Oreochromis niloticus: one gene and its partners. The protein of the gene in region 1 interacts with the protein of each later gene in a pairwise test. Links are inferred from orthologs where the notes say so. Each region holds a gene or a part of one and is shown on either strand. Other genes may lie near its edges. The genes, in order: lmo4b, grhl2b, rbbp8 and nfyc.

The links.
Region 2: the proteins of lmo4b (region 1) and grhl2b interact in binary tests that used the Homo sapiens proteins (3 or more experiments, as listed by UniProt). The two-hybrid records come from large-scale screens. The link is inferred for Oreochromis niloticus from reciprocal best matches to the Homo sapiens genes LMO4 and GRHL2.
Region 3: the proteins of lmo4b (region 1) and rbbp8 interact in binary tests that used the Homo sapiens proteins (3 or more experiments, as listed by UniProt). The link is inferred for Oreochromis niloticus from reciprocal best matches to the Homo sapiens genes LMO4 and RBBP8.
Region 4: the proteins of lmo4b (region 1) and nfyc interact in binary tests that used the Homo sapiens proteins (3 or more experiments, as listed by UniProt). The link is inferred for Oreochromis niloticus from reciprocal best matches to the Homo sapiens genes LMO4 and NFYC.

The regions. Positions count from the first base shown.
Region 1 is NC_031986.2:31,964,658-31,971,766, forward strand, and holds the start of lmo4b (LIM domain transcription factor LMO4b), read right to left. Parts: upstream 3,012-7,109; 5' UTR 2,554-3,011; intron 1,198-2,553; 5' UTR 1,193-1,197; coding exon 957-1,192; intron 1-956. UniProt on the Homo sapiens protein: Transcription cofactor. Plays a role in establishing motor neuron identity, in concert with MNX1, acting, at least in part, to disrupt LDB1-LHX3 complexes thereby negatively modulating interneuron genes in motor neurons.
Region 2 is NC_031985.2:19,830,363-19,837,430, reverse strand, and holds the start of grhl2b (grainyhead-like transcription factor 2b), read right to left. Parts: upstream 3,018-7,068; 5' UTR 2,677-3,017; coding exon 2,657-2,676; intron 2,649-2,656; exon of another isoform or gene 2,362-2,648; intron 946-2,361; coding exon 774-945; intron 261-773; coding exon 193-260; intron 1-192. UniProt on the Homo sapiens protein: Transcription factor playing an important role in primary neurulation and in epithelial development. Binds directly to the consensus DNA sequence 5'-AACCGGTT-3' acting as an activator and repressor on distinct target genes.
Region 3 is NC_031974.2:26,341,185-26,348,306, reverse strand, and holds the start of rbbp8 (DNA endonuclease RBBP8), read right to left. Parts: upstream 3,001-7,122; 5' UTR 2,863-3,000; coding exon 2,860-2,862; intron 2,838-2,859; exon of another isoform or gene 2,755-2,837; intron 2,397-2,754; coding exon 2,270-2,396; intron 2,159-2,269; coding exon 2,116-2,158; intron 2,020-2,115; coding exon 1,924-2,019; intron 1,604-1,923; coding exon 1,512-1,603; intron 1,295-1,511; coding exon 1,222-1,294; intron 1-1,221. Other genes in the region: fam168b (myelin-associated neurite-outgrowth inhibitor), read right to left, coding at 5,060-5,172, 5,256-5,451, 5,537-5,679, 5,987-6,070, 6,175-6,244. UniProt on the Homo sapiens protein: Endonuclease that cooperates with the MRE11-RAD50-NBN (MRN) complex in DNA-end resection, the first step of double-strand break (DSB) repair through the homologous recombination (HR) pathway.
Region 4 is NC_031985.2:22,027,897-22,035,742, reverse strand, and holds the start of nfyc (nuclear transcription factor Y subunit gamma), read left to right. Parts: upstream 1-4,825; 5' UTR 4,826-4,974; intron 4,975-7,846. Other genes in the region: uncharacterized protein si:ch211-13c6.2, read left to right, coding at 1-56, 156-275, 394-439, 557-1,472, 1,569-1,677, 1,757-1,822, 1,943-2,044, 2,148-2,379 and 1 more. UniProt on the Homo sapiens protein: Component of the sequence-specific heterotrimeric transcription factor (NF-Y) which specifically recognizes a 5'-CCAAT-3' box motif found in the promoters of its target genes.

The DNA of each region.
Region 1 (7,109 bases):
CCCATTGACTTCCCCATCCTTTTTATGAGGTGGGTGTGAGAGCGCACAGGCGCACTTTAGATTTTGAATTATCCGTGCAGATTTGATAGCAGCGTTGTATGTTAACTGGAGTGCGGTTCCATCCATTAGAATATGAGCATGCATTTCTATGATATAACAATAAAAACGGAATCTCTGACTGTCTTGCATGAATAGAAACTCAAGTTTAGCAAATGGCTAATTGATTGGCTTAAAAATCAATACCAGTCTAGCACATGAGGGTGAGTCAAGGATGCATGTGAACTTTCAGTAAACTGCACCTTCTCTCGTCACTTAAGACTGCTCAACATGACCAGAATGAGTGTCATCAACAAGCTCTGGTTGGGTGTCTGGCACACCTACTTGAATATTTAAAAAGGCTCTCTTTGCTAATTAAATGATCCTTTTTCCACTGTATTAAAAAAATTAGAATAAAACAGCCTTCGCTGAACACAGATCCTGTTTGTGTCTCTTGCAGAGCTAACTCAAGTCATTTAGGACCAGTTTTCTGTTCTTTTGTTGACTGTAAAACAGGACAGACCGCGTTATGACCTGCAGAGGCTCTCTCCTTTTGCTTTGTGCTCTGTCAACATGGCGCCACGTTTGGCGTCTTTCAGGGCAGGCCAAAGAGCCTTCAACCAGGACGCCTTAATGAGCACTGATGACGTTAGTACAATTTGAGACACATGTCGTGCAGAAATGCACCAAACTTTGCGGACGGTTGCATGACCATGACAGATCTACATCAGCTTAGTCCTGCTTTTAACTTGATTTAATATCACAGCTTAATATAATCCAGAAGAAAAGTTCTACGGGCTATGAGAAGCACAGTTTTTCCTTTTAAATTCATGCAAGATGTTTAAACGATCTGACTTGCTCAGTAAGGCTGCAACAGCAAAATACGGAAAACTGAACACACAACCTGGTGATTTCCTCACCTGATGTAGTCGTTTCTACAGAGGATCATGCCACTTTTTGTGTAGCACGATGTGCCGATCTCACCCAGCTGGGCCTGGCAGCAGGAGCACTTGAGGCATCGGCTGTGCCAGTAGCTGTCCATGGTGTAAAGGAGGAAACGGTCCGCAATTTTGCCCCCGCAGCCGGCGCACCGCTTCCAGGACAGAGAACCTGTGCCCACCGGTGGTGGCTGGCTGCTGCCTCCGGGATTCACCATCGTACCTGAGAACACACAGAAGAAACCATGACAGGTTGCTGTTCAGACTTCTTTTTTTTCTTTTACACTTAAGGACTGCTTAAGTGCACACAAGGGTCAGGACTTACACAGCTATGAGTTGACACATTTGTCATAACTGATCAGTTATCAGCTGTTTGAACATACTGTTGTATCTGCAGCTGCGAAGCCCGATCTCTGCTACAAGACAACCACAAGACACTTAGTGAATTAATCTGCCCTTGATCTCTACGCTGTTGCTTCATCAGACCTCTTGTGATGAATGTCTATTCACTGATAACACTGTGGGGCCAGAGGAACAATTACACAGCACGGGCCTTTGTTGAGCTGTCCTAAGAATTTCTAAATGGCGCACAATTCCTCACTATGCAAAGAGGTGATGTCCACAGCAAAACTCAAGGGAGCGAGTAAAGAGAGGCTGATGTTTGGCACATTAGTTGTGATGCTGCATGAGCCTTTGACCTCAGCCAAGTATATGATCACGCATCTACACCACAGCCCTGATACAGCGATGTGCACACGCTGTAATGATGTTAAATGTTCTAATCTACTGAAATGCAGGCATTTGTTTCACCCACCAAATTAATGTGGGCTCTTTCAAATGTAATCCTCTCCAATTTGGTCAGGCAGCCTCGCCTGGATAAAGCCAAATCTTTGTTGAAAGACAGGTAGGCTAATTAGAGTTAGGAAGAGGGAGGCTGGGGGGTGCACAGAGAAAAGCATTCAGTAAGCCCATTAGCGATGGCTCTTAGGGACAAACCACAGCGTACCTTAGTGCTGATTAAATCTAAAAGGAGATGAATCAAAAAAGCCGACCTGAAAGTGACTCCCGGATAAACAAGACGGGGCCATCATCAAGTTTCATTCAGAGGAGTTTCCTTTTTTTCCGCTGAGGGATGGAGGGGACGGGGAGGGGAAGAGGAGGGGGGTGGCTTTTAACTTAAATGGGCTAACTCAAGTAATTACACGGGCAAGCAATTTGGAGACCAAGTCATGGAAATAGAAGAGGGAGCGAGAGAGACGGAGGGGGGGGAACATATCAGACAGCCATGTGCTAAAAGCTTCTGTCCGCTGCCTGCTGCCTGATTTTGTTTTTGAAATAGAAAATAAAAGAAATGCAGCTTCACATCTCAATTACTACAAGCTAAGTGCTTAAAAAAAAGACCAGTGTAATGTCGGCTGTCACATCTGAGCGCAGGCATTCTTAAAATAGACACGGGAGGACTCAAAACCGACTGTTTCCACTCTGAAAACTACGGACAATTACAGGTAGCATATATACATATAAAAATATATATACAGCGCAAACACACAGAACAGCTGTACCAGCGGCAAACACCCACCTCGTTTGTCTCCTTTCAGGGTAATGGCTGTAAAGTTGATGGCTTGAATGGCAGGTAGGCGAACAGGTAGGCTACAACAACAGTACCCCAAAAAAGTACAGGTAGAAAGCGGACGCACCACCGAGCGCGGTCGTCGGCCTCCAGCTCCGCGCGGCAGCGAAACCCTCGAGCTCGGCTCTTCAGCAAGCAAATGGAGTTATCAGATAGTATTTCCACTGGATGCTTCCCGTTTAACTGCTGCTGCCGCTTTTAGTGCTCTTTTTCTCGCTGGAACAAAAACGAGTCCATCACAAGCCGTAATTACAGGTCTGCGCATGCCGTTGAGTCCACAGAGCTGGGGAAGTGCGTGGAGAAGAGGGAGGGAGGAAAAACAGAAACACGGAGGCAGGCAGAGAAGCTGTAATTGACTGTCCTCTGCTCTGGTCTCTGGGTCCCGTTAGCTGCTTGTTCTACATGTGTCGCTGACAGGAAGAAACCTCCAGTAAAAAAGCCCCTTCAGCCGCGTGACGAAAGGGCCTCGGCAGCCAATCAGCGCGCGGTCCATTTAGGAGGAATAACAATTCTGGCCAATCAGAGGGAGGCGAGACTGACTCGGACACGCAGACAGAGAAGGATGGAAACGGAGGTGAGATGGACCGGAGAGAAGAGACACGCAGCAGTCCAATGTATACAAGCCAAATCAGGGGCAGAGACCAGATTAGAGCGGATTTATACGCCAAAGAAAATCCGTAGAATAAACTCAGTGTCCTGTTTAAGGAGCTTCAATATCACCGTGATAAATATATTATCTCTTCCAAACGTCCATAATACTCGGACATGGAGAGATTGGATATGAAGCATTGTAATAATATAAAGATTAAACTGTCTCCATTGTCAGGACTACTGAAAGCTGCATAGCAACATCCTGTAGGCTGCATTCATCTCACGCCCGACTTTAATTAGTTGACATTCAATAACTACTTAGTTTACCGAGGGTGACTCCAACCTCTGGGAAATATCAAGCCCCCCTAATAGCTGCGTAGTGGCGCCATCGTCTGTCACTGAAAAAAATCGCAGCGAGGCCTGCTGTCGTTTACAACCTCATTAAGCCTCGGGTCATTGGTTTCAACACCTATTAAGGCTAATCTGCAAGACCTGATTTGGCTGAGATCCTTTTAATTCCTTCAGTTTGAGTTTTTCCACCATCACGTGACACATCAGAGATCCCATCAACTGAAGGTAACTGTGACGCTTTTTAATAAAAATGAAATGTATATGGTGGCGACACCACGACAGAGAGGCGGGGGGGCTGCTCTCCTTGTAAAGAAAAGCTGCAAACAAGTGACGTCTTCAGTTTAACCAAAAACAGTTGCTATTGGAGAAAAGTTTCCCTGTTTGAGATTCAGCAGGCTGAGTGGTTTTACATGACAAAACGGCTCTCTTATAAGATGCCCCTGGCTTCATTAGAAAGACGTCAGATGTATAAAGATGATCTTTTTCTTGACTTTAATTGTTTAATTATTCCTGCAGCTCCGAAGAGATCGCGCTGCATCAAGCTGATTTCCCTTTTGGCAAAGCCAGTGCTACTCCGCCTTGGTTTGAGCCACATTCTCCTGACATTCTCATCAAGCCTCTCACTCAGCAGAACAAAAAAACCCCACGGAAGATTGCAAAGAATGTCTTTTCCACCAAGGAATGATTAATTGATATAAATGATTAAAACAGAGGAAAATTATGAAATGAATTTGAAAAGAGGCCTCACAGGAAAAGCTTTGTTTGTTCCGGGCCTTTTTTAATGAGCTTTTCATAACTGGGCAAGAGAAATTACTCTGCGTGTTCTTTTTCTGGAGCTCTTTTGCAAAATAATTATGGCTAGTTGAAGTGAGGAGGAGGTGGAGGGGTCAGGGAGACAAGGAGGGAGAGAAGAGTGGGTGGCTGGGTAGGTGGGGGTTCCCTCAGAAATTGATCACCTCCTTTCTCCGCTGAGATCTTTGAGTCCTGTGGCAGTTTCCAAGCAGCTGCATTATGACAAAAAAAAAGAAGAAAGCAGCCAACAACAATATGATTGAACACTATTTCAGTGTTTAAACAGGGACAAGAGAGCGTCAGATGTGGCTCACAGTGTTGATACTCCCCACAGGGGTGATCTCACTGAGATGAAAAGGAGACCACGGTGCTTCATAATGAAGCTGCTTGTCCTGTGGGAAAAAGCAGGAGAGCCGCATTGAGCACGGTGGTTAACTTCAGCCTGGGATTCGCTCTGTGTTCTCGTGTATTGACGTGACACTGAGCCGCAGAGAGGCCGGTTTCAGCCTGAGAGTTTACACAAAACCTCCAGGTCACTCCAACTTTCTCTCAGGCTCACATTCTGAGATCGCGCAGCTACATGTGGCCTCGTCCGCCATTTGCGATACGACGTTGCCCTCGCTTTACTGCATATGTTGTCTGTAAAAGAGAATGATGTTCGTTTAGCTGAGCCAACTGATCAGGGAAGATTAGAGTTCAGATTATCTGCAGATACAGAGAAGCTGCTCTAGGACTGCACACAGCGTGGCACAAAGATCTCTGAGTGAAATCTGCTAAATGAGTAAAAGGTTACTTACCTAAAGAGGCATTAAAGGAACACTTAAAGTCCACATTCTCTGTAAAACATGTTGATTCAGGATGCTTCTGAAAGTGATAAACTGATTGATGCCAATTTCCTGAACATCTAAAGTGCTTTTTTCTGGATCAGACACAACACACCAATACACACAACTTTGTGCATCTGGGGAAATAGCAAAGGTTTGCAAAATGTTAAAGTTATTATAATTATATAATCCAGGGCTGTCAAAGTCAATTTCATCAAGGGCAATATATATATATTTTCTTCAAATTCTTTAATTCGATCAAAAATGCGTGCCCTGCATAGCCTTCTCATGTACAGTTTGATCCACATACTTCACCCAGGCCACAAGAGTGCTCCTTTGCCTTTCCATGATGGGAATCTGCACACCGTCCCAAAGAACCTCTACTGGATTTAGATCTGGTGACTGTGGAGACCATGTGAGTATTATGAGCTCATTGTAATGTTCAAGTAGCCAGTTTGAAATGATCTGAGGTTTGTGACATGTTGCGATCAGAAAATGGGTACACTGTGGTCATAAAGGAATGCACATGGTCAGCAGCAATACTCAGACAGACTATGGTGTTTAAATGATGCTGAGCTGGTACTAGTATTCCAAGAAATATTCCCCACACCACCGCCGGCAGCCTGAAATGTTGATACAAGGCAGGATGGATCTGTGCTTCCATGCTGTTCATGCCAAATTCTGACGCCACCACTTGAAAGTGGCAACAGAAACCGAGGCTCATCTGACTAGGCATCGTTTTTCCAGTCTTCTAAAATCCAATGTTGAGAATGCCCATGTGAATTGTAGGCTCAATTTCCTGCTCTTAGTTGATAGGAGTTGCACCAGGTGTGGTCTTCTGCTGCTGTAGGCCATCTGCTTCAAGGTTCAATGTGTTGTTCGGTGTGTGGATTTTGACTTACTGTTCCTTTCCTGTCAGCTCAAAGAAGTCTGGTAGTTGTCCTCTGACCTCTGGCATCAACACAGCATTTTCACCCAGTGAACTGCTGCTCGTATTTTCTCAGACCATTCTCTATAAACCCTAGAGATGGTTATGTGGGAAAATCCCAGCAGATCAGCACTTTCTGAAATACTCAGACCAGCCCATCTGGCATCAACAACAATGTTACATCAAGTCACTTAAATCACCATTTTTCCATATTCTCTCAGATTCTGAACTTCAGCAGGTCATCTTAACAATGCCTAAATGCAATTTGTTGCTGCCATGTGACTGGCAGATTATATATTTGTATTAACAAGCAGCTGAACAGGTGTATCTCATACACATGAGTTAAGCTTCATAAGTAAAAGAAATAGATTTTTCATCATGAATTTTTCTTAAAATTTTATTAAGAATCTAAAATAATATATGGATTAGATAACATTTTGCAAAGGGACAAATTTGGCTCCATGGTCTTGAGTTTGGCACATGTGGCATAATCAAAGCTAAAGAAGAGTTTGCAGATCATAGCACAATCATGCATGATATTCATGTGACTATACTAGACAATATAGTATTGTTTGTTTCTGATGTTTACTTATTTTTGGTACCAAAATAATTTACAAATGGGTTATTTGTAAGTAAACACCAAACGTTTTTAATTCAACTTTAACTGAGGATGTCATAGCACATCTGTGCTCACATTTGGCCAAGTATGAGGTACTCAGTAGTAAATAGCCCAAGATTTATATGGCAATTTTGCATTCTTACTGACCACTCAAAGTCAGGCAGTGTTTTCCACCCTCGAGTCACTACTGCACAGAATCTGGTCACAGGAGCAGAATGGCAGCACACGTGTTCATTTCCATAACAGTGTAGCTTCTCTTTTGTAAAGTGAAAGGAAGTGGGGATAATGCATCAGTCATATGTAGGGGTGGCTGTAGCTCAGGTGGTGGAGCAGGTCATCCACTGATTGGAAGGTTAGTGGTTTGATTCCTGGCTTCCCCAGTTTGAATGCCAAATATCCT
Region 2 (7,068 bases), on another chromosome or scaffold:
TGACTTGCTACTAATGTAACGGAAAGCAATTTTTGAAGAAATGGCCTTTCGTATTAAACAGTTTTCATCTTTTTAACTTTCTACTTTTATTGCACTGAGCGCCCTTGTTTGTTTCCACCTGCTGCTGGAAACGTCGACCACCGTGTTGGGCATATTTTCATGGTGTTTCGAGCAAGACGAGTGTTCACTGACCTCTTCTCCTGTTCCTCTGTAATTTCAGTGGCTTTGGAAAGTTGCAGAAGTCTCTTGTCTTTGGGCACCTACAGGGAAAAGGAGGACAGTCGAGTCACTCTCGGTCAGCCCTATAAGGGAGCTGTGACCTGTCACCTGTTTACGTCAGACCTCTGTGCTGTGTAATGTTTCAGTCGGTTCAGTTAAAACAGTTGTCATTGTGATCTGAATTCATTTATTTGACAAATTTAAATAGAAAGGAAATGTCCAAAATATGTTAATTAATATGCTGCTACATTTTAATTAAAAAAAGAGGGGAGGAGCCTCTGATTGGCTGCCCCTCACAAACAAAAACCTCTGATCAGCAGGTGAGTGGCTGAGATGGCCATATTGGGGATATCTGATCTCAGTGACATCATAAACGTCAAGCAGTAGAAAAACTGTCTAAAACAGAGTGTTTAGAGCTTTCAGACAGGGCGTACTTGCACACACACCGAGTTCATTATCACTTTTGCTATGTTGAATGTTTCATTAATGGTACAGATGCATGAAAGAATCAAAGGCGAAGGACAACAGATGCTCTTTATGAGGGATTTGGGCACCTTGTAGTAGTCGTAGAGCAGACCCAGGGCGTTGGCACTGTCCTCGTCTCCGTTGATGCTCATCATCGCCTTGGTGGCGGCTGTCAGCGGGTTCTCCAGGTATGACCGCCACGCCTCATCCTCGCTGGTGTACGCCCTCCTCTCGTTGGGGACCACCACTACCAGACGTTTGCTTGAGAAGCACAGGGATTTAAACACTGTTTTAAACATGTACAGTTTTTTTTGGTAGGCGATCAAAAAAACATGACAACTGTTATTTTCCAGGCTGAACTGTGATGGATGAACTGATTAGCTAGAGCAGCGTTCACGCCTGTCTGTTTTTCTGTGTGTGTTTTCCTCTTTGCTCTTTAGGCTCACTTAAGATCAGATCAGAGACCAGTTAAATACACACAGTGTTGCCACAACATCTCTCTGAGCTCAGCCAATCACAGGGAAGGCTCTGAATGTGGCAACTTGCACAATGAAATGCTCCTGTCATGTCTGACAGTGGCCATTTTTCATTTGGCTAAAATGTTTGTGGCTTCAACACACTTCTTGACATTTACACAGGAAATATTAATGAGGATTTTTTCTTTCATGCATCTCTGTGTAAGTGTATGAAAGATCCGCTTTCACTATTTGACATTCGTCCCTCCTCCGACCAGTGATGCAAACCTTTATACAGAAAATAAAGGGCTAACTGCAAAAGAGAAGCTCCACTGTGTCTTCCTTATATTGTATCACACAAAAACGCACGATGGCATGCTTTCTTTACCCGGCTGCAAATAAATAATGCTCCTGCCTTTGGATCGAGCTTGTATTGTGAAAGAGGGTCGCCGTAAAACAGACGTCTGAGCGATGTTTAGGAGTTTTGGAGCTTTAATCTGCTGGGTTTGAGTAAATGTTAACGCTGTGTGTCAAAATAGAGGCAGACACCTGCTGCTTCCACTGATGCGGGAGACAGCAGCTCTGCAGGGAGACTGGAAAATCAACTACTGGCAGCCACACTTTGACAGCCATATTTGTTGCAACATATACTTTTAATAATGATGATAATGGATGAAATAATAATTGATTATCGTGTAAGGAATGATCTAGGTAAATGAAATAAGGCATAAGATTATTATTAATGCAGTTAATCCCTGTTATAACACTATTAGAAACTATGAAATTTTACAATTTAAATTACACTGGATTTGGAGAAAGCAGGACACCTGTAACATCTGGTCTGCATTATCAATATTATTATCATTGTTAATGAAAAAATAACAATTTTTATTTTTATTTTTCAAGAGCAAAGTCCTTCCGACTCTATTAAAATTTTAGCGCTGCAGTCCAAAGGTTGATTTCTTTAAAAATTGTTAATAAATAAAGGAGTTTGTATATCCCGTTAGAAAACAACAGAAGAGGCCAGCAGGCTTTACAAACTATTCCCATTCACAGGCAGATCCAACACGCTCTCTAGGCCTTAAATAGGAGGAGGGAGGGAAACGATGCAATGATATCCAAAAGCAGCACAAAAAAGTATATTTTTAATTAAATTGTTAAAAAAAAAAACAGTCCTTGCACCCTGAAGGTTTTCCCCATTAGTCAAAAATGGCGAATTCACCTCTAATGAAATCCACGGCGCCAAGCTTGTCAGCTTCTCCTCCAGGCCCCAGAACAGCTTCATATCTGTCATAAACAGTCCAAACGGAGCGAAACCGGTACGCGAGCCCCATTTTACACCCCCCCCTTATTTCTTTTTCTTTTTTTAAAAAAGTGTGTGTGTCCTAAACAAAGGTAATCCCGGGTTTAAAGCAGCTTCGTTTTAATAACAGACTCAAAAGAAAACACTTGAACAACTTTCTCCCCCCCGCATGTAGAAATCAGCAAAGATCCTCTCCTCTGGCTCGATCACTTACTTGTCTGTCTCCTGTGACATATTTAGCTTCCTCTACGATTCTTCCTTGTGAAACTGGACTTTCAAGTCGGAGCAGGTAATAGAGTGAGAGTGAGTTGCCAGAAGTTGGGCTACAGGTAAGTCGACTTTTTCTCGCCCCGCTTCTTTTCTCCCTGCCCCTCTCTCCCTCTCTCCTCTCTCTCTCTCCCTGTGTTTGTGTTTGGCTTGCCTCTCCTCCGCTCCTTCCACCTGGGCAGGTAAGGCAGCAGCCAATCCCTCTGCGTCTCTCTCGCTCACTTTACACGTAGATTAAGGTGACAAACACCAGCGTGTCATACTGCGGCGCATTGCGATATTTGCCTTGACTCTCTTTTAATGGCAGCCGGTCAACTTTGTGGCTCTGAATTCTTTCACAGTCGAACAATTGAGGCTGAGGGCGAGTCTGCCCGCTGATTGGCTGCTGTCGAGGGGAGAGGAGATCCGATTGGCTGCTGGGGGCAGGTAGAGGCCCACCTCACCTGCGAGCGAAGCGAAGACGCCGCAGTAACACAGAAAACGGAGACACACAGGAAACAGATTAGATTTACGGATTTTTAAGGCTTCAGATATGATTTGATTTGATTCTGTTATGATTGGTTATGTTTGAAACAGGAGGACTCGAGGCATGACTGCACAGCCTCAAACTGGCCACTCACTGCCTCAGGCTGTCTTTCATTCCCCCATCGGCTGATTTTACTTCTGGCCCCTCAGATTTCAATAGAGACTCGTGTGTGTGTGTGTGTGTGTGTGTGTGTGTGTGTGTGTGTGTGTGTTCCAGGTAATCTCAGAGCAGAGCGAAGGCAGGGAGGAGCCCTGTCATTAGCTGACACAATGCCATTGTCCCCTTAATGAATCTATTGTATAAGGAGATCCCAGTGTTTGGGATTACCCTGCCAGAGCAAACAGTGTGTGTGTGTGTGTGTCATAGAATGACTGTGGAAGTGGTCGGGTGGGGCACAAACAATATGTAATTGCTGAATATAAAACTTCATTTTTCTTTTTTTTAATGCAGATGGTTGATGGACACAAGTGTCCATTCACACAGCAGAGACACAGCAAATAAAACTATACTGTATTACTCAGTATATAAACAATATGTCGACTTGTTTGGTCACAGAGAAACAAAAACAGGATAAGTGGTAGGAAATTAATTATTTGAGTACAATTCTGATATATGCTATTTTTGAAAGCTGTATAAATGGTAAAATAGTTTAAGATTTTAAAAATATGAGGCTGTAAACAGATTTAAAGCTTCTTTCTTTTAGGTTATGACCCCCTGGAAATGAGTTTTAATGTGTATTGCATTAATGTATTTAATACCATGAAGTCTAAGTAAAGGAGAATGATGACAGGTAATCTAACCCTATACTAAGTCCTGAGTGTCAGAGAGTCAAACATATGAATCCAACTGACATGCATCAAAAATGATTTCCTTTTATTTCCACCTTTTTTCCTTTTTCTTAGCTCTCACAGAGTTACTGAGTTACAAAGACTGTAAAACATGTTCACAGTAACCTCACCATAATTTGCTTTTACAACAAAAAAATTGAGTATAATTTAATTTACATTGTTACATCGTATCGTATACTTATAGTCGCAGGATTAAGGAGTGTTGCTTTATTTAAAATGTGCATATTTACCCACAAAAAACTGCAGTGCTGTGCACAGTCAAAATCTGTAAAAACGCAGTTCAGTGCACCAGTTTGAAGCATTTTTATTTATCCATGCTACTTTTTTACTGTTAATTTTCCTGTATTTTTTTTAAACCTCTCATTGAGTTATACCATTTACCATTTTTGGAAATTTCCATAAAAACTGGTAATAAACTGGCAGAAAGTGACTCTGTGCTGAGTGTTGCTCATATATAAAGAAAATCCCAGCAGACCTGTGATTCTGTTTAATCAGCATTACTGATGCAGCTTAAAGTATAAAACTCTTTTATTTTACTCAAAGAGAAGTTTAAATGAATGTATATCTATATGTTATTATATCATATTAGTGGTATTAGTATTTAAGTAAGCGTATAAAAAGTGAAATTCTTCTGCTGCCTTTGTTTTCTCCTTTGCATTTCAGGGGGAAACAAACGACGTTTTATCCCCTTCGAACCCGAGCAGTTGTCTACGTCTGCACCTGAGGTTTGTTGGAGCTTGAGAAAGGGCTGGGGAGACGTTTCCAAACTGGTCTGATGGAAGTGTTTGCATGACAACGTGCCAGCCTTTTGCTTATGAATGCTTTCGGGCGCCTTTATATGGAAATCCAAAAATTACGTTTCAGATTCAGTTAAACCGTCAGCAGTGTGTGTGCTTGCATGTGTGTTCCTGTTTGTGCGTCTGAGGATGCATGTGTTTGCGTGCCCTGCTGGTGATTACTATCCTCCCTTGTCCAATTTGTTTTACAGAGCACCTGGGCCTTGGCTGAGCTCTCTCTGTGTACGTGTGTGTGTAAATGGGACTGCTAGATAAATACAGGTGGGGTCCCTTTCTTCTAACAACACACAGACTGAGCGAAAGAGCAACAGAGAGACAAAAGGGAAGGAAATAAAAATGTTCTATTCAGCTCTGTTGCCTACCTCCTTCCAGCTCTATTGCTGTATTTTAAGATGCATGTGATTAGAGGAGAAATAGATTAAACAGCACCACAGAGGTGCAAAATTACAGCGAAGCCTGTTACATTACACAAGAGCAGCTTTTACCTAAATGCACCCAAGTCTGTGTTGACTCATAATCCATGCACGACTCATTAACGCTGCACAGAAAACAGAGTGAGATCAAAATAATGGTTGTACATGAGCTTTTCTCTTATCTTTACCTTCCCCTACATGACTCTCGCCTGCTGGAATCTCAGCCATGGGGCGAGATGACAGCAGAAATCGTGCGAGGGCTAACGTACAAGCTGCCACAAGCAGGCGAGAGCAAGACTGGAAAGTCAGGGGCCACGAGCCACCACATACTTTTCGTGTGTGTTTGTGTGTGTGTGTGTGTGTGTGTGTGTGTGTGTCCAACTGTGAGGTGAAAGGTGTATCCTGCATTCCAGGCGTTTTTTCGCAGGAGTAGCAGCTTGCCTGGACTTGGCCGGGATTTTGTGTCTGAGTCTACCTGTTTGAGTTGAGAAGCCCACAGCTGAGAAGGAGACAGAGGTGTGGGTATGTGTGCATGTAGGAGGGGGGATGTTGACATTCAGATGGAGGTTAGATCAAGAGGAGGTGGAGGGAGGGGATGGATGAATGACATGAGGGGTTACAAACACATGCTTGAACATGAATGAAGTCAAACATAGAGGATAAGGTTGACTGCAGCATGGGTACTCGAATAATATTAGCTTTGGTGTCAGAATTAATACCGATGACAACCATTAAGCTTCTTCTGGTTATCCAGTTCAAGGTTTGGAGGGGATCATAGGCCTAAAGGGTACACACTGGACACGGTGCCACCCAAAATTGAATAAGCAGTTAAGAAAATGGATGGATTGACTTTGTCAGTGTAACGAGCCAATATTGGCTCAATGCATATTTATTATTGGTATGAACTATTAGAAATGTGATGAAATGATTATCAGGTGTTGTGTTTGGTTTGGTTTTTTTGCAAATCCTACTACAGAAAAGTTGGGGTTCATGGGGCTGGAGGCTATCCAGGTGTCTCTGTGCTGCTGATGCAGTGAGTGTCATTGATGCCAGCTCTGGCCTTCTTGCATGTCCTCCCTGTGTCTGCACGCATGGGTTTCCCTCATACAATCCACTGAGAGACTTCTCTGGTTAACTGGTGATTCTAATTTGAAGTGTTTCTTTGTCTTTGTGTGATAGGCTGGCAACCTCTGCAGCTTGCCTAATGACATACAAACTACTGCTTTAAGTTGCTCCCATATTCACCAAGGGTCACCAGAGCAGGTAGGTCTGCATTTTTGATTTGGCAGATTTTGACACCAGACACCTCACAGACACCAGACACCAATCGGGGCATTTTCACTCATTAGGTGAATGTGTGACTGTGTAAACCACCACACTGCAGAGCCACAACAGAAAAGATCCTTGAGGTAATTTAGAAACCACAATTTCTCCAACATTGCAGCGCTGACGGTCTGCAGCACATGCAGGCAGTCCAACCAGCCTTAAGCCCAATTTTTCTTAGTAATAAAACAAAGCTTTACAGTGGTACTGACACAGTGCCTTTCTACTCAATTCGAGCACACAAAGTGCTTCCTGCTACAAGTCACATTCACCCAATCACCCAAACATTCATACAGCACTTTTCTCTTTGTGTGAGCACTTCTGGTAACATTCACTCCTTGATGGATGCTTTAGGGGAAATTTGGGGCTCTTGCTCAAAAGATACTTCAGTGTGTGAGCTGGAGGAGGCACGAATCGATCCGCTGAATTTCTGATAACTCTGTAAATAACCA
Region 3 (7,122 bases), on another chromosome or scaffold:
GAAAAGCACACGTGTAGTGCTTCACTGGAAACTGAAACTTTAAAACTTACCGAACCTGTAGGAGGGAAATTTATTTTCCCAAGGGGCCACAGAAGAAACTGGGGCTGTTAGCACCAAAAAGCTTATAAACACGTAAAAATAATAATACTGAGTGGCAGCTTGGGAAAATGTATTGTTCACTCCTGAAATGTCTGACCAATGTAGGTGACACACATTTTTATAGAAGTTTTAATTCAAGAGGTTTAACAAAAGTATTGTACTGTTTACAGCTATTTGCAGGAATCATAACACAGCCCCCCATTTTAAATATTTAAAATCTATTTAGTAACTTTTCAGTGAAACTTTTAATATGAGGTTAAAAAAATTAATTAATTAATTAAAATCTGGGCGCAAATGGAAGAAGCCATAAAAACAAAAACCTATCGGAGCAGTAGAATAAACTTGCATTTGTAAAAAGAATAAATGCACAAACCAGGCTCGGCAACACCAAAACACATGAAAGACTACTGAAGACATCTTAAGTACATGAGCGCAGTGGATGATTGGCTAAGAAAAACCTGTTCACAATATCTAACCAAATCAAGAACAGTCCCTGTGAGACAGACGTATCAATGTCAGGAGACACCTTCATGAGTAGACTGCACAATGCTCAGAAACTGTAAAAAAAACCCAAAAAACCCCCCAATAAAATAAGAAAGCAGGGGTTACATCTCAGACTCCACAGGTCTCAGTGTGTGAATGTTAAAGTTCATGACAGTACAGTCAGAAAAAGATGAACAGGGATGACTCATTTTCAGGAGAAAGCTGCTTCTCTCTAAAAAGAACATGACAGTATAGCTAGCTTACGCTCATAAACAAACCACAAGACCTCTGGAACAGATGAGACCAAGTCATCCTAGAGCTCCTCTGTATACCAAAGTATAAGTCATCCATCTGACAGCTAAAGCTTGACAATAACTGGCTCATGCAACAAGACAATGATCTGAATCAAACCAGCAAATCTACATTCAACAGAGTGGCTGAAAAACAGAAGAGTCAGGGTGTTGTGCAATGGCCCGGTCAAAATCCAGACCTCAATGCAAGTCTGTAAAGAGTAGTCAAACTTCCTCCATGATGCGAGATACTGATAAACTTGAAAGTACTTCAAGTTATTGCTTTAACCTTTTAAAACATTTCTCATATTTTTCTTGTGAACAAAAACATGAATGCAACACAGCTTACCGAGAACTCTTCAGTTTTTGCAGCTCAGCTCGCAGCTTATCGTTTTCATCCTCCAGCAGGTTTCTTTCATTTTCTGAGGAAAAAAGGTTTGCAAAGAAAATGTTTTTCTCTGTTCTTAAACAAACTGAGAATCTTAAAGAAATGTTGTTTTGTTTTTTCCCCACAGTCATTCTAGTATATTAGTCGTCATATTATATAACATACTATTGTTGTGAAAGATTGCATCTGCATATGTGTATGCACATCAGGGAGGGCTATTAATGGTTGGACACTGAAATGAAAACACTCACTAAGTTTCTCGATAAGATGCAGATTCTGCTGCTGACTGTTTTTCAGGTTCTCCTCTAAGATGGAGCATCGATCACACTCTGCTGCTCGAAGCCTGGAAAGGGAAAGCACAGCTGGCAATCTTTATATTTCATATTGTTTTAATGCAAGACACTAAATGCTGTGAACTTTCAGTCTGCGGGGAATCTGAAGCATCCATGCAATGAATCAGAAAAGGCTATTCTTGTCTTTGGTATCATGTTGCTCCAGTTAATTAGAAATCCCACATCGGTGCCCAACTGCAGCTCTCCCATCCTAAGTTATAGTTAAAATGTAACAGAGGTTCAACAAGACACATCTATTCCAAACAAACAAACGAAAACATTTGCTACAAAGGGAATAACAGTGGAGTGCATTCATCTTTGGGTAATTTACCTTTCCTCCAGGAGAGCCATGTCATCCTGCAGGTTTTTATTTTGCTCCTTGAGCTGCTGGTTGCGATTGTAAAACACTTCAAGCCTCTGCGCATCTCTGTAGAGGACAAACACATCACTTTACCCTTCATAAATAATTTACTAAGACTCCAGTGTCCTTCTCCTTAAACACAAAGTGACACAACATACTCACAGGCAACGTTCCTTTTTCAGCTTGCTTACTTTTGCTTCCAATTCTAGAAACAGCAACAAGTGCAATGATGACATGTGTTGTCATTTAGCTTCTGAACTTCGGATTATAGACATGAAAGCCAGCATGAACGTGGTGAGATCAAACTGTCAGTTACCCTGAAGTGCATTTTGGTGACACTCTCCAAGCTGCCTCCACAAGTCTTGAAAGCGATCAGCTGATTTGGCTGTCCCGCTGCTCCTGTCGTTTCCAAAACTCTCTGTAAGCGCCTCTCTGCTCTCTTCCTGCCAACGCAAATCAGCAGTCTTTGTTTTCATGTTTGCCTCACAATAATAAATTCCTTCTTTCAGCTCACTTTAGTGTTTCTTAATGTTAATTCGCATTTGTCAATGTGAGCACGGGAAGTTAAATGTTTGACTACTTTAGCTTTGCTACATGGCGGCGCGCATAAACTCAGTGCTAATTAGCTAAAAAGAAAATTACTTTCACCCCCTCAACACTCACATATTTACTACTTATTATTTATTGGCTTTTAGAACAAGCATTAATAAAACTTCAGCTCTGTCTTTTGGCTTGTTCTCCCAGTAACCACTTAGACTACAATTAAGAAATAAATGCAAAGTTTAGACTTAATGACACGACCTCATGAGAAGACAGCCGCGAACAGACTCAGACTTACACCGACACGTCTAAAGAATAAAAACTAGGATATTCTGTCAAAGAGAAAATAGTTTAACAGTACAGTACCATGTTTGAGCGATACAGTCTACGGCTTGACCATAACAAAATCCAAATTCGCGCGCCGAACTGCAACCTGGGAAATCTTCTTCTTCGTTTTCCAATTTAGGTAGGAAAGCTTTGACGCCATCCTCTGTTAAACAGCAGCCAGTGGTTTATACTGCTACTTCTCTAACCCTAAACAATTAACAACAACAATAATAATGATAATAGTTAAAATTTTGTTTTATGAAATTAAGTTACAGAAAGTTGTTTGACTTGACCTCAATTACCAATGAGTAACTTTAAGAATAAAATGTCTAAAATCTATAATACTATATAGAGCAGAGCCATGGGGACTAGAGTACAATATCATAATCAGTACTGTGTAAAAGTCCTGAGTGTTTCTTTATATTTTGAGTTCCAGGTTTGAAATAGAAATTTTTTCCACCGACAAGGTGATTCCCAAAGAGCCATTACCTGAAAATTTGGCATGCCATGTGGGCGTAAAAAAACAATGGTCATGCCAAATATTGCCTTTCAAACCGGTTTGAATCGTCCAACATATTATATATTTTGTTTCATGTTCTTCTTTGTTTTGTCATCATTTCTGGCTGCCCCAACACACCCAGCGAGAAGACATGCACAACACAGGTTATTCTTATATTTGTTTTTATTTTTGGTCTTTCTTTAGAATACAAAACAGCAACCAAAGTCACAAAAATAACATTTACAAAACATGTTTAACTGAGGTGACCGAGGCAACATAGAAAAGCATGTCTGAAACAGTGACATTGGTGGATTTTTAGCCTGGAGACTTGAGGTAAGACAGCGAGCGATGTCGGAAAAGGTCAAATATCTTTTACAAACCGTTTGGAATTAGTGCCTTCATTCAGTAGTGCTATTCACAAATGGAGTTTAATATCATTACGGTGCCCTAACATGTCCACATTTAGCGGTGATTTAATGATGTAGTGCTTCAAATCTGCCTAAGAGTAAATTCATTAGAGTGACATGTAAGTCTAAAATTCTAAGCATGTTGCACTGTATGGCACCATTCAGAATGGTTTCCGTTCGAGTCCCGTTTTCACACACACACGCGCACACAGACACACACACACACTTCCTGCTCATCCACTCTTATTAAATGGGTGCAATTGACTTCTAATAACTTCCTATACTTGTTCCCCACCAAGAACACTTCTGGCTAAAATAAGTGAATACATCATATATCACCCAAGCAGGAGCAGCTTCAGACTTTTGGGGGGGGGGGGAGAAAGAAACTGAAACACCATTTGTTTAAATGAAAAAAAAAGTAAGTTTAACAGGCCAGAAAAAGTAAAAGTGTTGGATTGGCCACCAGTCACAGAGGCACAAACTCAAAGTCCCATCTTTTGTTCCTACAATACAAAAATGGTAAGACATTATGCAAACACTGCATCACTGAAAGAAAACGATAAAAACCACTTACCTAAACACAAAGCGGTGAAAAATAGTACAGTTTGGCCCGCGATGGACGGCGCAGGTATGTTTTTGCATGAATAAACGTTTCTTGTCTTTTTTTTCTTTCACATTTAAGACATAGTCACTGGTGATTCAGCATTGCAGATTATTACTCTTTTTTTCTAAGTTCCTTTGGATTTGTGCCTTTTATTGAATTTGCATCTGTCACAGCAGGGAGAATTGAGCTAGCATTACTTTGTAAATCTATATATACACATGCATTCAACATCATATTTAATCCCCCAAATTAAAGGAAAAAAAAAACTATTCCAAACTCCCTTTTCACTACATAAGAATTTAAGCTATAAAAACCTGCATGAGAGTCCACATAGAGTTTGCATGGAGGCTTTGCAGTTTGACGTGAGATATGCAGCAGGTTTGTAGAGGTGCTGGCGCTGAGGGGGTGGGGGCGTGGGGGTATGGAATGCAGCCTTATTCCATTAATAGGGGTTGTGGGGATGGGCCTATTTGTCACCCCCTGCTTATCCAAATGGGACTCTATGTAGTTGGGTTTTAGATTCACATTATGCTGGAAGAAGAAGAATTGGTAGCGGACGCTGCCAGGGCGGGGCAGGTCGTCACCACGAGAGAAAAACACTGGAGTGTGAATGCATATCTACCATCTTCCGGACCTGCAGAGAGAACACCGGGTGTAAACATAAACCTTTAATCTGCACCTTTGACCAAACTTGTGATCCTTTTAAAACATACTCACGCTTCTCTCTCTTCACCACTGCGGGGGCACGTAGCTGTAGCTGGGTGTGCCAGGAGGCCGATATGTGGGCATCGTGACTGGGTGGGGAGCGACGGGCGCTGGCGATGGAGTTGTCAACAAAGTTCCTGAGAAGTGAAAGCCACAGGTATAACTACAAATCGAACACATTTGTATCCTGGATAAGAATCAATAAACCGCTGCAGCTCACCAGCTGACATGGCCATAGTGGTGCCGGCTACCATGCCCATGGCAACACCATTGTTGCGAGGAGGGATAGGCGGAGCATACATTGCTGCAGGCATCCCATTGGGCTGGACCACTGTCGTGTGATGGATGACATGAGGCGGTGGAGCATACAGAGCCTGTGTGTAGTAAGGGCCTTGTTGTTGTGAAGGTATTAGTGCCTGGTGGACAAACAACCACACGTTACAGCTCAAGCATTGAACCAGGATGAAGAGAGACGGCGTGTTATTAAAAGCGAGGACTGACCTGTGCATAAGGGTTCTGTTGGGGGTAGGTGCTCCTGACAGGGTACACAGCAGTTGGGTAGGGGTTTGGGGAGGAGGAGTATGGTGGGACGGTCCCTGTGCTGGGAGAGCAGGACACTTTGAAAGGAGCGCTTGGAGCATAGCCTGGAGAGGGAGGAAGACGGCTCACATTAGTGCCGTTTGCTTTGGGACAAAATAGCTGAAGTCTGCGTAGAAACACTGGCTGTGCAGCTCAGTAAAACAGGACCCTCATAGAAAAGAAGCACACACACTTTTTGGGGCTATTAAGAGTCTCTTTGGAACTTTTATTCTTTATTACGTTATATTTATAATTAATTCAAATAAAAGAAGTCCGCTGTAACCGTTTGACTCTTTTGAAGTGCATCAGGAAGATGTGTTTCAAGACCTATCAGATAAACTCCAGCAGATTTCAGCGTTACTTTCTTCTCACCATTAGGGAAGCCTGGGTTTGCTCCTGCGTAGACGTTGGGAGTGTACACTGGAGCAGCTGCTGCGTATCCTAGAGGAAATCCAGCTGCCAAAACCAGAAACAAAACAAGAATATAACAGTATTCTCAATGCTGGGAGATATTTTCTTGTAATTATGCTTGTTTCTTAAACCACTATGCTTCAGGTTACCTGGATAACCTATACCCTTAGTGTTGGTAAAGGGGACCCCTGTTGGTGCAGGGCTGTATACTGGGTTCATTGTGGCTGTCTAATTGCAGATGCTGTAAATAAGAGAAGCACAAACAGGTTGGAACGATGCAAACATCATGCGTGGAAATCAACTGCTGATCTGTGAGCCAGCAGAGCTCTTGTGGAAAGGATGGACATGCTAATATGAAGTTTTCTGTTGTTGTCGATTGTGACCCTGTTGTTCCAGAAACAGCACAGTGATTGTGAAAAGATTCCTCAGAAGGTTTAAACAAAACCTTCAGTTTGGCTTTCAGAAATCTTAAGCATGTAAACTGGTTTGGTGTGTGTTCTTTGGAGCTTAGACTTTGACATACTGTCCATTTATTAGACTGCTGTTACTGTAGCTTCGTCACATTTCATTACATTTATATTTCATCACATGTGCCAAACTACCACTGTTACCTAACGACACAGCTAAAAGGGACCACAAATAATAACCGTTCTCCCTCAGTGAAGACTGACAGCGGTCTGCATGAGATGACCTTGCAAGGTCACGGTAACAACAAAGCGAAGACCAGACTAATAAGCATTTTCTGATACTGTGTGCTGACATGCACCTATTACAGTTGTATTGGCATTACTATATATTCTGTTTGATATTAAACATAACACAGAGAAGGTGCTTGCACTATTTTTAAAAATGGTGTCAACATGGTTCCCAATGCTCTCAGCACTGTCTAAAGCAGAAAGAGAGACGAGCGCAAATAGTCTCTACACAATGTTCGTGAGCAGTTTGTGAAAGACATTTTTGGAAAATTAATACACTCAGCTAGACCTTTGATTTTGCATTTTTGATGCCATTCTGTTGTTCGGGGCAAACCTTAAATTTAACAAGGTGCTATAAACATTCCTCAGAGATGTTACTCCACATTAACATGATGCTATCTC
Region 4 (7,846 bases), on another chromosome or scaffold:
TCCTTGCAGAAATGGTCTGTCATGTGATTGGACGCAAACACAGGCAGAAATATGTGGTAAAGCATTCAGAGCATTACTTAAAACCTTCTTTGTTATTCTGTTTTCCTTTATAATAAGATGTTAAAGCAAAGAGAGATCACATTCCCTTTCTGTAGGAATTGAAGCGGCCTGACTTGGTGACCTGGGATAGACCCTCTGTACAAACCCTCGGGGGGAAGATCATGCGCGCCAAAGCAGAAATAATAGAGAGACAGGATGGTAGAGGGACTCCAAAGGTATGCCAGATGAATTACCCAAATTACACACCATATTTTACATTCTTCTAAAATTCTATACATTTTGTTACATACAGTAAATGTTTATTATTCTTGTTTTGTTCTTGTTTTTTTTCAGTCATTGTTCAAAAAGGGGAACGAGAGTAGATCAAACAGCTCAAGAGGTAACTTGATTGATATTAAACATGGTTAAAAAGTAATTTTAAAATACAAGGAAAGGTTACAGACACATTGGGAAAACGTTTGGTTGTATTTTTCTCTAATTATTACTTGATTATTAGCTTTCCAAAGGCAGAGGCAAAACAGGGAGCAGACGAACCCACAAGATTTGCCACCACTCCTACCCGAACTCAAGGACTATCACCGAAGGAAGCATGCCTCAAGTTACCCAAACGCATCTGCATTTCCTCCGAATGAACCTAACATGAACGTAGACAGGCGCAGCCAGCGGGAGAACAGGCTTAGCAATGAGCGCACCAGAGATGAACCGCGAAGGTCGGATTTCAGGGAAGGCCATGCGTACAGAGAAGGCTACATGGACTCTGATTATCGTCATCAGTATGAAGAGGGATATGGTGGAGATTCACAAAGAAGTTTGGCACTTGAGCGAGGTGATGCTCCCAAGTATGATTTTAGGGAGGATTTGCCTCGTGGCCTTGGTCAGTCTGACTATTACCCTGAGGGGGCACCTCCTTATAGAAGAGCCTATCCAGAAAGAGAGTCTGTTCAGGATTTCCACTCTGAGGATGTCAGGGGTGGGAACGGTCGTTCTGAGTATTCACCCTCCCAGGCCATGTACCCTGAAGGTGATAAACTGCGGTGGTCCCTGGAGAGGGAAGCTGATAGGCACGACGGTATGAACAAAGCAGGTAGACAGGGATCAAGTGAACCAGAAGCCAGGAGGAGGAACTTCTCTCCATCTATGGAGGGGGACCGATCACGTGACAATTTGTTCAATATAATTCAAGATTATCGTCATGAGTTGAGAGAGGCGCATCAAGATGAGGCAGTTGATAGGAGAGCTGGAGGCCCAGCCTCACAGAGACACATGGATGTTGGCAGAACCATTTCTAACATCCCAGAGCCATTCAGGCGGTTCCTGAAAGGAGGCGCCGAAGATGATGTTCACGGTAAAAGGAAAAGAAAGAGCCGCTTCTCTGATGCTACTCCAGAGGAAGTGGAAGGGACAAGGGAAATGTAAGTGTAAAAATTGTAGTTGTTTTTTTTTTTTGGAAAGTGTTGTGGGCTGCTTTTATTTATTTTTTTTTTTACATGTGTGATTGCTGCTTTCAGGTATGGGGATAATTATGGATCTCCAAATCCAAAGTTTGGAGGTGACGCAAGGCCAGGTAGTGCACCAATGAGTGGAGGACAATTTTCAGACCTCTACAGAGAACCACAGGTAGTTTATTTTAACATCACAGTAGAGTAATGTCCAGTAAAACAAATCTTTATTGACGCAAGACCTTTTGCTTTTTTAGGGTCCACATCATCCTGAAATGAACCAAAGAGGAGGCTCTGAGTCGGAGGGCGTCTTTGATATGCTGGTAAGATAATTAGTCGTTATTGGCGACTTGCACATGTTTGTGAGTCATGTTTTTGTTATGCAACTATTCACTCAGTTCTCAGTGTGTTGTTTTTTTTTTTCCCCTTTCACATTTTCTTAGAGCAACATTGAAATTGAGAATGCTGAAGAGGCTGACTTCTTGAAAAGTAAACTTTGCAACCTGCTTAAAGAATTCAAAACGAAAAAGATGGAGAAAGCTGTGGTATGAGTCATTCTGCACACCGCCTGTCTTTTTAATATAATATTAGTAAAAGAACACAAAGACTTTGCTTATATTAACAAAACGTTTGGTTTTGTCATGGTAGCAGAACAGCCACGGTCGAGAAGGGATCCCCAGAAACTACAGCAACATGGAGCTGGACCCTCGACAGCCGCCGTTCGAGAGGAACATGAGAGATGATTCGCACCACAGACAGTCAGAAGACCTCGACTTCAGAGACTGGAGGCAGCGTGAGCATCTTCCAGAGGAGCGGCACAATGTTTATCCCCCCCCTGCACACGAAGATTCCAGATACTCAAAAAGAGGCCGCTTTGAAGGTATAGTACATCACAGTGCAGTTTATTTAAACCCATTAGGGTTCAATAGTCTTATATAAAAGTTAGAGATATCAATAAAAATAACACAAGCATAATTTTCTTGAAAAATATTAGGCAAAAATAAGTATGGTAGGTTTTAAATCAATATACAGCTCAAAATAAAGGCAGACAGTAGAAGGCCACTCAGTAGTTGCTTCTTTAAAGACCCTTTCATCCATTAGTAGAGCTGCTTGTACCAGAAAGGTAGGGTAGATCAGTTTCTATAATACCTGCAAAGTTTTCCCTAATGTTCAACTCAGCAAGGCTCTCAGTTCATCCAAACCAGAGCTTCGACCAGCTGACGTAATTTTCTCCATGGTATCCCTCGGGTGATCTGTGGGATTTGGGTCAGGGCTCTGGGAGGGCCCCTCTATTAGAAAATATTCTTTCAGCAGGCAGCTGGTAGGCTGTGAATTATTGTCCTGCTGAAAGATCCTCTTCTGTGGCTTAAATCATCATTTGGCTGCTTTTTTCATTTCAAAATCCTTTCTATATCTCATCAGTTAAAAACGAATTTATCTGCTCAGTTGCAGGCTGTGATGTTCCCAGCTCTGTGCTTTCAAGTCAGTTCCACATGAACATGTGTCTGTAGCAGAATAACCACAGGTATAGTTCATCACATTAACAACAGGCATGGTTCAGGTCTGATAAACAGGAGAGGGAGGGGTATAATCACGCCTTTTGTCTGGAATTGTGCTGTATGTGTTGTTGTATGGATCGAATGCCAATTTATTGACGTATTAATAAAATAACCTTATGAACTTTGAGGTTTAAATGAAAATTGATGGGATTTTCTTCTTTGAATGTATTTTGAGTTTTGTTGTGGTATCTTTTAGGATAGTTTAGTTCAATTTATGTATAATGAGGCATAGTTTGCAAAGGTGTCTAAATTCACCTTTTGATTTTATGTAATAAATGAATTTGATTGCATCGTTAAATAAGATAATAAACAATAAGTTGTATATTCAGCTTCCCTGTGTCAGAGGAAGTGTGCCTGATTCCACTTTCTTTCATGTAATTCAATTTCATTCCTCTTTTTGTTTTTGTTTTTTGTTTTTTCAGAGGAATCTGGAGCTCCTCATACAAACTGCTTAGATGAGCCGCCCTATTATCCTGAAAGGTTTCCAGAATCCCTGCCGTCTCGTGACTACCAGCCTCCTGTTGGAGAGTTTTTCGACTCTCACTCTTCTGCACCTCCCCTCCACATGGAACAAGAATCCAGGATGCCCAGAGGACCCCGGTACTCTAACAACCTGGACAAAATCACCTCCGCCCTCCTGGAACTTGTGGCAAGGAAATAAATGTCATCACTGCAATCTCCATAATAGTCATGTATTATAATGCAGTGTTTTAAGGGTAAAGCTTAGATTTTAAAATGTGATTTGGGTTTAAATTTCTTTCCCTTCATTTTTCTTTCTTTCTGTTTTTTTTTTTTTTTGTTGTTGTTTGTGTTGGATATTTGCAAAGACCTTGGTTGATCAAATGTTGACGTCTGGTGTAAGAATTAAAACACTTGTCTACTGCAGTTGTAATCATTTCATTTTTTTCAAATTCCTTACTGACCAGCAGCCAGAAAAGTAATACTCTTATTGCCATCATTGTATTTCATATTTTCAGTGAATTTATTTTGAATTAACTGAATTAATTTGCAATGATTTGAGCTTCGTGGTGCTTTGTCATGCTGGCTGCAGCCATTAGAAGATGGGAACACTGGTTATAAAGGGAAGGGCTTTCATATTTATGCCAAATTCTGAACCTACCATCTGAATGTTGCAGCAGAAAATGAGACTCTGAGGAAAACACTGACTGGTCTACAATCTTCTGTTGCCCAATTTTGCTTAGCCTGGGCAAATTGTAGCCTCAGTTTCCTGTTCTTAGCTGAGACAAGTGGCACCCAATGTGATCTTCTGCAGCTAAAGCTCATCTACTTCAAGGTTGGACGTGTTGTGCATTAAGAAATACGCTGCTGCATAATTTGTGTTTAATGAGTGGTTATTTGAGTGACTGATGCCTTCCTCTAAGCTTGAAACAGTCTGTTCTCTGACCACTGACATCAACAAGGCATTTTCTCTCAGAGAACTCACTGGATCTATATATTTTTTGGTTGACTGTGAAGATCTCAGTTGATCAGCAGTTTCTGAAGTATTCAGACCAGCAACCATGCCTCATTCAAAGTCAATGAAATCACCTTTTTCCCCATTCCAGTGCTCAGTTTGAACTTCAGCGGTTCATATATAATGCATATATGCTGTATATATCTGTGTATGTATATATAAAATGTATTTGTTTTTTCCAAGTCACTTTGCTAATTTTACTATAAATGAGGACTTGGAGATATATAGACTACCTGAGCAATTAACTGTTTAGTGAATCAAATAATAATAAAAAACAAACAAACAAAAAACCTCACACTGACGCTTTCTCGGGGAACGTAACCTCTACGTCATCGCGTTGGACTCTTTCCGGTTCGAATAGCAGCCATCTTGTTTCCCCTTGCAGGCTAAATAAAATAAATAATACGCTGAGCTGGACTTCACTTCGAACCCGATAAAGAAAGTGAGTAAGAAATTAAAATTCATTTATCTGTGGAGTGTTTACATGAAAGTTGTCCGTGTTGGCTGGAGGTAGCTGTAATTACTTCGCTTCTTTTCATTTGCTGTTCTTGACCAATAGACGATTGTTTTGGAAGATGAACATAGGCGCCATTTCCCTCCCCGCTCTCTGAGGCGCTTATTGGTGGCCCGCTGAAAGGATCACGGACGCTCAGGAAACTGATGTTTTGTGTCCACCATTTTGGCTCATATCTGAGCGACTGTCAGACACACTGGCTATTTGCGCCTGACCCCGAATGGCGCCAGTTGCAGAACGAACTTAGCCCTAAAAACCTTGATTGGTGGAATCTAGTCCGAGGTTTGATTGGTCTGAAGGACAGATCCAAACGTTGTCTTTATTGGTTAGACTGTTTCTTCCTAGCATTGCAAACCTTTGCAAACTTTCATATGTTGGCAGGGCTCGCTGTCAGCTGGTAATTAAAATTACACACGCTGAGCTGTACAGCTCTCATCAGTCTGCATCCCCAGCCAGCTAACATTAACTCCACTAACGTTAGCATAAAGTCACGGTCAGCAGTGACCATCCTATTAGCTAGTATGCTGTATGTGTCTTCCTACGCCTGCTCCGTTAAGCATTTCACAGTGGGTACCACAGCACTACAGTGCATCTCAGTATTTTGTAGTTTATTTAGCATCCTTTGTGTGACGAATATATACCGGCTTCCGTATGCTAGCGTTGAATATAGCATTGAATTCCCTGGCTCCTTTTAGCCGCTGTGTTGAACCCAAACACCTTATAATGTAGCGACTATTTAAAGTCAACCTCCGTGCTAAATGCTGGGGTGTTAAAGCGCAAAGCTGCTCTACTCCTCGTGTGAATTCCCTGTGATGACTATATCATGCCTTTGTTTAAACTATTCATTACTTGGAAAAAAAAAATCTTGCACACAATGTTTAATTAATGAATACAGCTGTATTTTCAACCATACTAACCAAAGTCACACAACATGAAGATGCACCAAGTTAATATTTAGTTTAGTTATGCTTTAAACCTAACAGATATTCACCCCATTCTTACTACGACCTGTGTGCAGAAAACAATACAGTCTCTTTGTTGTGTTCCCACGAATATAAGAACTTAATAAAGAATAGGAGAGCTTAATCAGCTCTTATCAGCGGGACAAAAACGGTGTGCAACTTAGTATACTTTATCTCTCTAGAGGAGGTATGCTTTACGTCATCATTTGTGTGTAGGTTTAATTGAGCAGTTGAGGTCATATTTAAAAAGCCTGGGATATTAGAGCACCTTAGACAGCTTAAGTAAGCTGTGTGCAAGTCGCCCAGCTTACCATGTCGTTTTGCAGGTGTTCATGTGTTTTTCCATGTTTGCAGGTGAATGCATGGCTTGGCCTGGCTACCCTCAGGGTAGCTGCTGTGTTTATGAAACCCAACGTCTGGTTGGTGCATGTTTATCTCTAAACAGCGTCAGAGAAAGCAAACATGTTCCTGCTATGGGCAGTACAGGTCATGGGAAGGTCTCATTTCTGTGGTGACCTTGCCAGGTGTCATTACTGAGGCATTTTGGGTAGACTGAATGCAGCTACAGAGAGCTGTTCGAGCATGGCAACAGCAGTGGAGAGATTAGTCTTTGTGCAGCTCTGCTCTAATCATTAACTGGATGTCTGTAGTACCTGCTCTAGTCCCCATGCTCCTCACAAAAATAGTAAAGGGAACATTTAGCTTTGTTTCTCTTGAGTCTATCTTGTGCTCTCGCCCTCCCTCCACTTGTTCTACCCCTCCCTTCCTGTAGCAGCTCTCCTCTCTGTCCTTCTCCATCCTTCCGGTCCCCACTCCACCCCCCACCCCGGTTTTTCATTGATAGGGCAGTTTATTATCTTTCCTTGACTCTTGTGTAGCTGGATGTGTTCCTCTCTACAGTCTGTATTTTTTATTTTTTTATTAAAGCTTAACCTTCGGGCTGCACCGCCACTTGGTCGTATCTCAGCAGTTTACTCTCTAAGCTTTTAACAGGTTTGCCCATTAGAAGTAGAAGCATTCACGTCGTAGGTGGTGCATTAAACATCATGAGATGTGCACATGAGTACTAAAATCACTCTCTTGAGTTGCACACTAAAGGTTTTTGTGTCGAAAGTATGCACATTTAAGCAATGGAGAATTAACAAGAAGGACATTGTGTGACATTGCTGACGTGGTTTTTTTTGATGACGTTTCCATTGTGGAAGTTGCTGTGAGCACAGTTTTTGGGGTCAAGACAACATTGTCTTTGTTTATGGGTTTTCACCCATATCTCTTAAGTCTTGTTTATCCACAAATAGGATGAGAGTCAAATGAACTCTTTCTTTTTTTCTTTTTCTTTTTTCTCTCTGCCTTCTTCCACAACTGCTATCTAGTCAGCTGATTGTTCCATTTTGTACAAAGGCTCTCTATTGATTTGTTTTGCACAGAATAGTTTATTGTGTATATTTGATTGACACTGTGTAGGGTGTCATGGGATTTATAGTGGTTGCATTAAGTTGCCTCACTAAATGTTCACATGAGTCAAAAAATTTGTTGAATGGAGTTTGTCTAGCTAATTAATATTCTGAATACATAATGCATGACCAAGCATCTAGATATATTTGTTCCTCTGTTTGAATAATATTAAGAGTGATGTGAATCTCATTGTTAGAGGTAGGCTGGCTGGAGGCTAGATGTTTTCGGTGTGTACCTGTGACTGTGAGCAAGGATAACTGAGAATGCAAGGACAAAATGTGCATGTGTGTGGGTGTGCATGTAAGACCGTGCACAGGTATGAGACAGGGAGTCTGCTTAGTATGCTTTTGTACTTTAAATCATGTGGATGCAACATGCGGCAT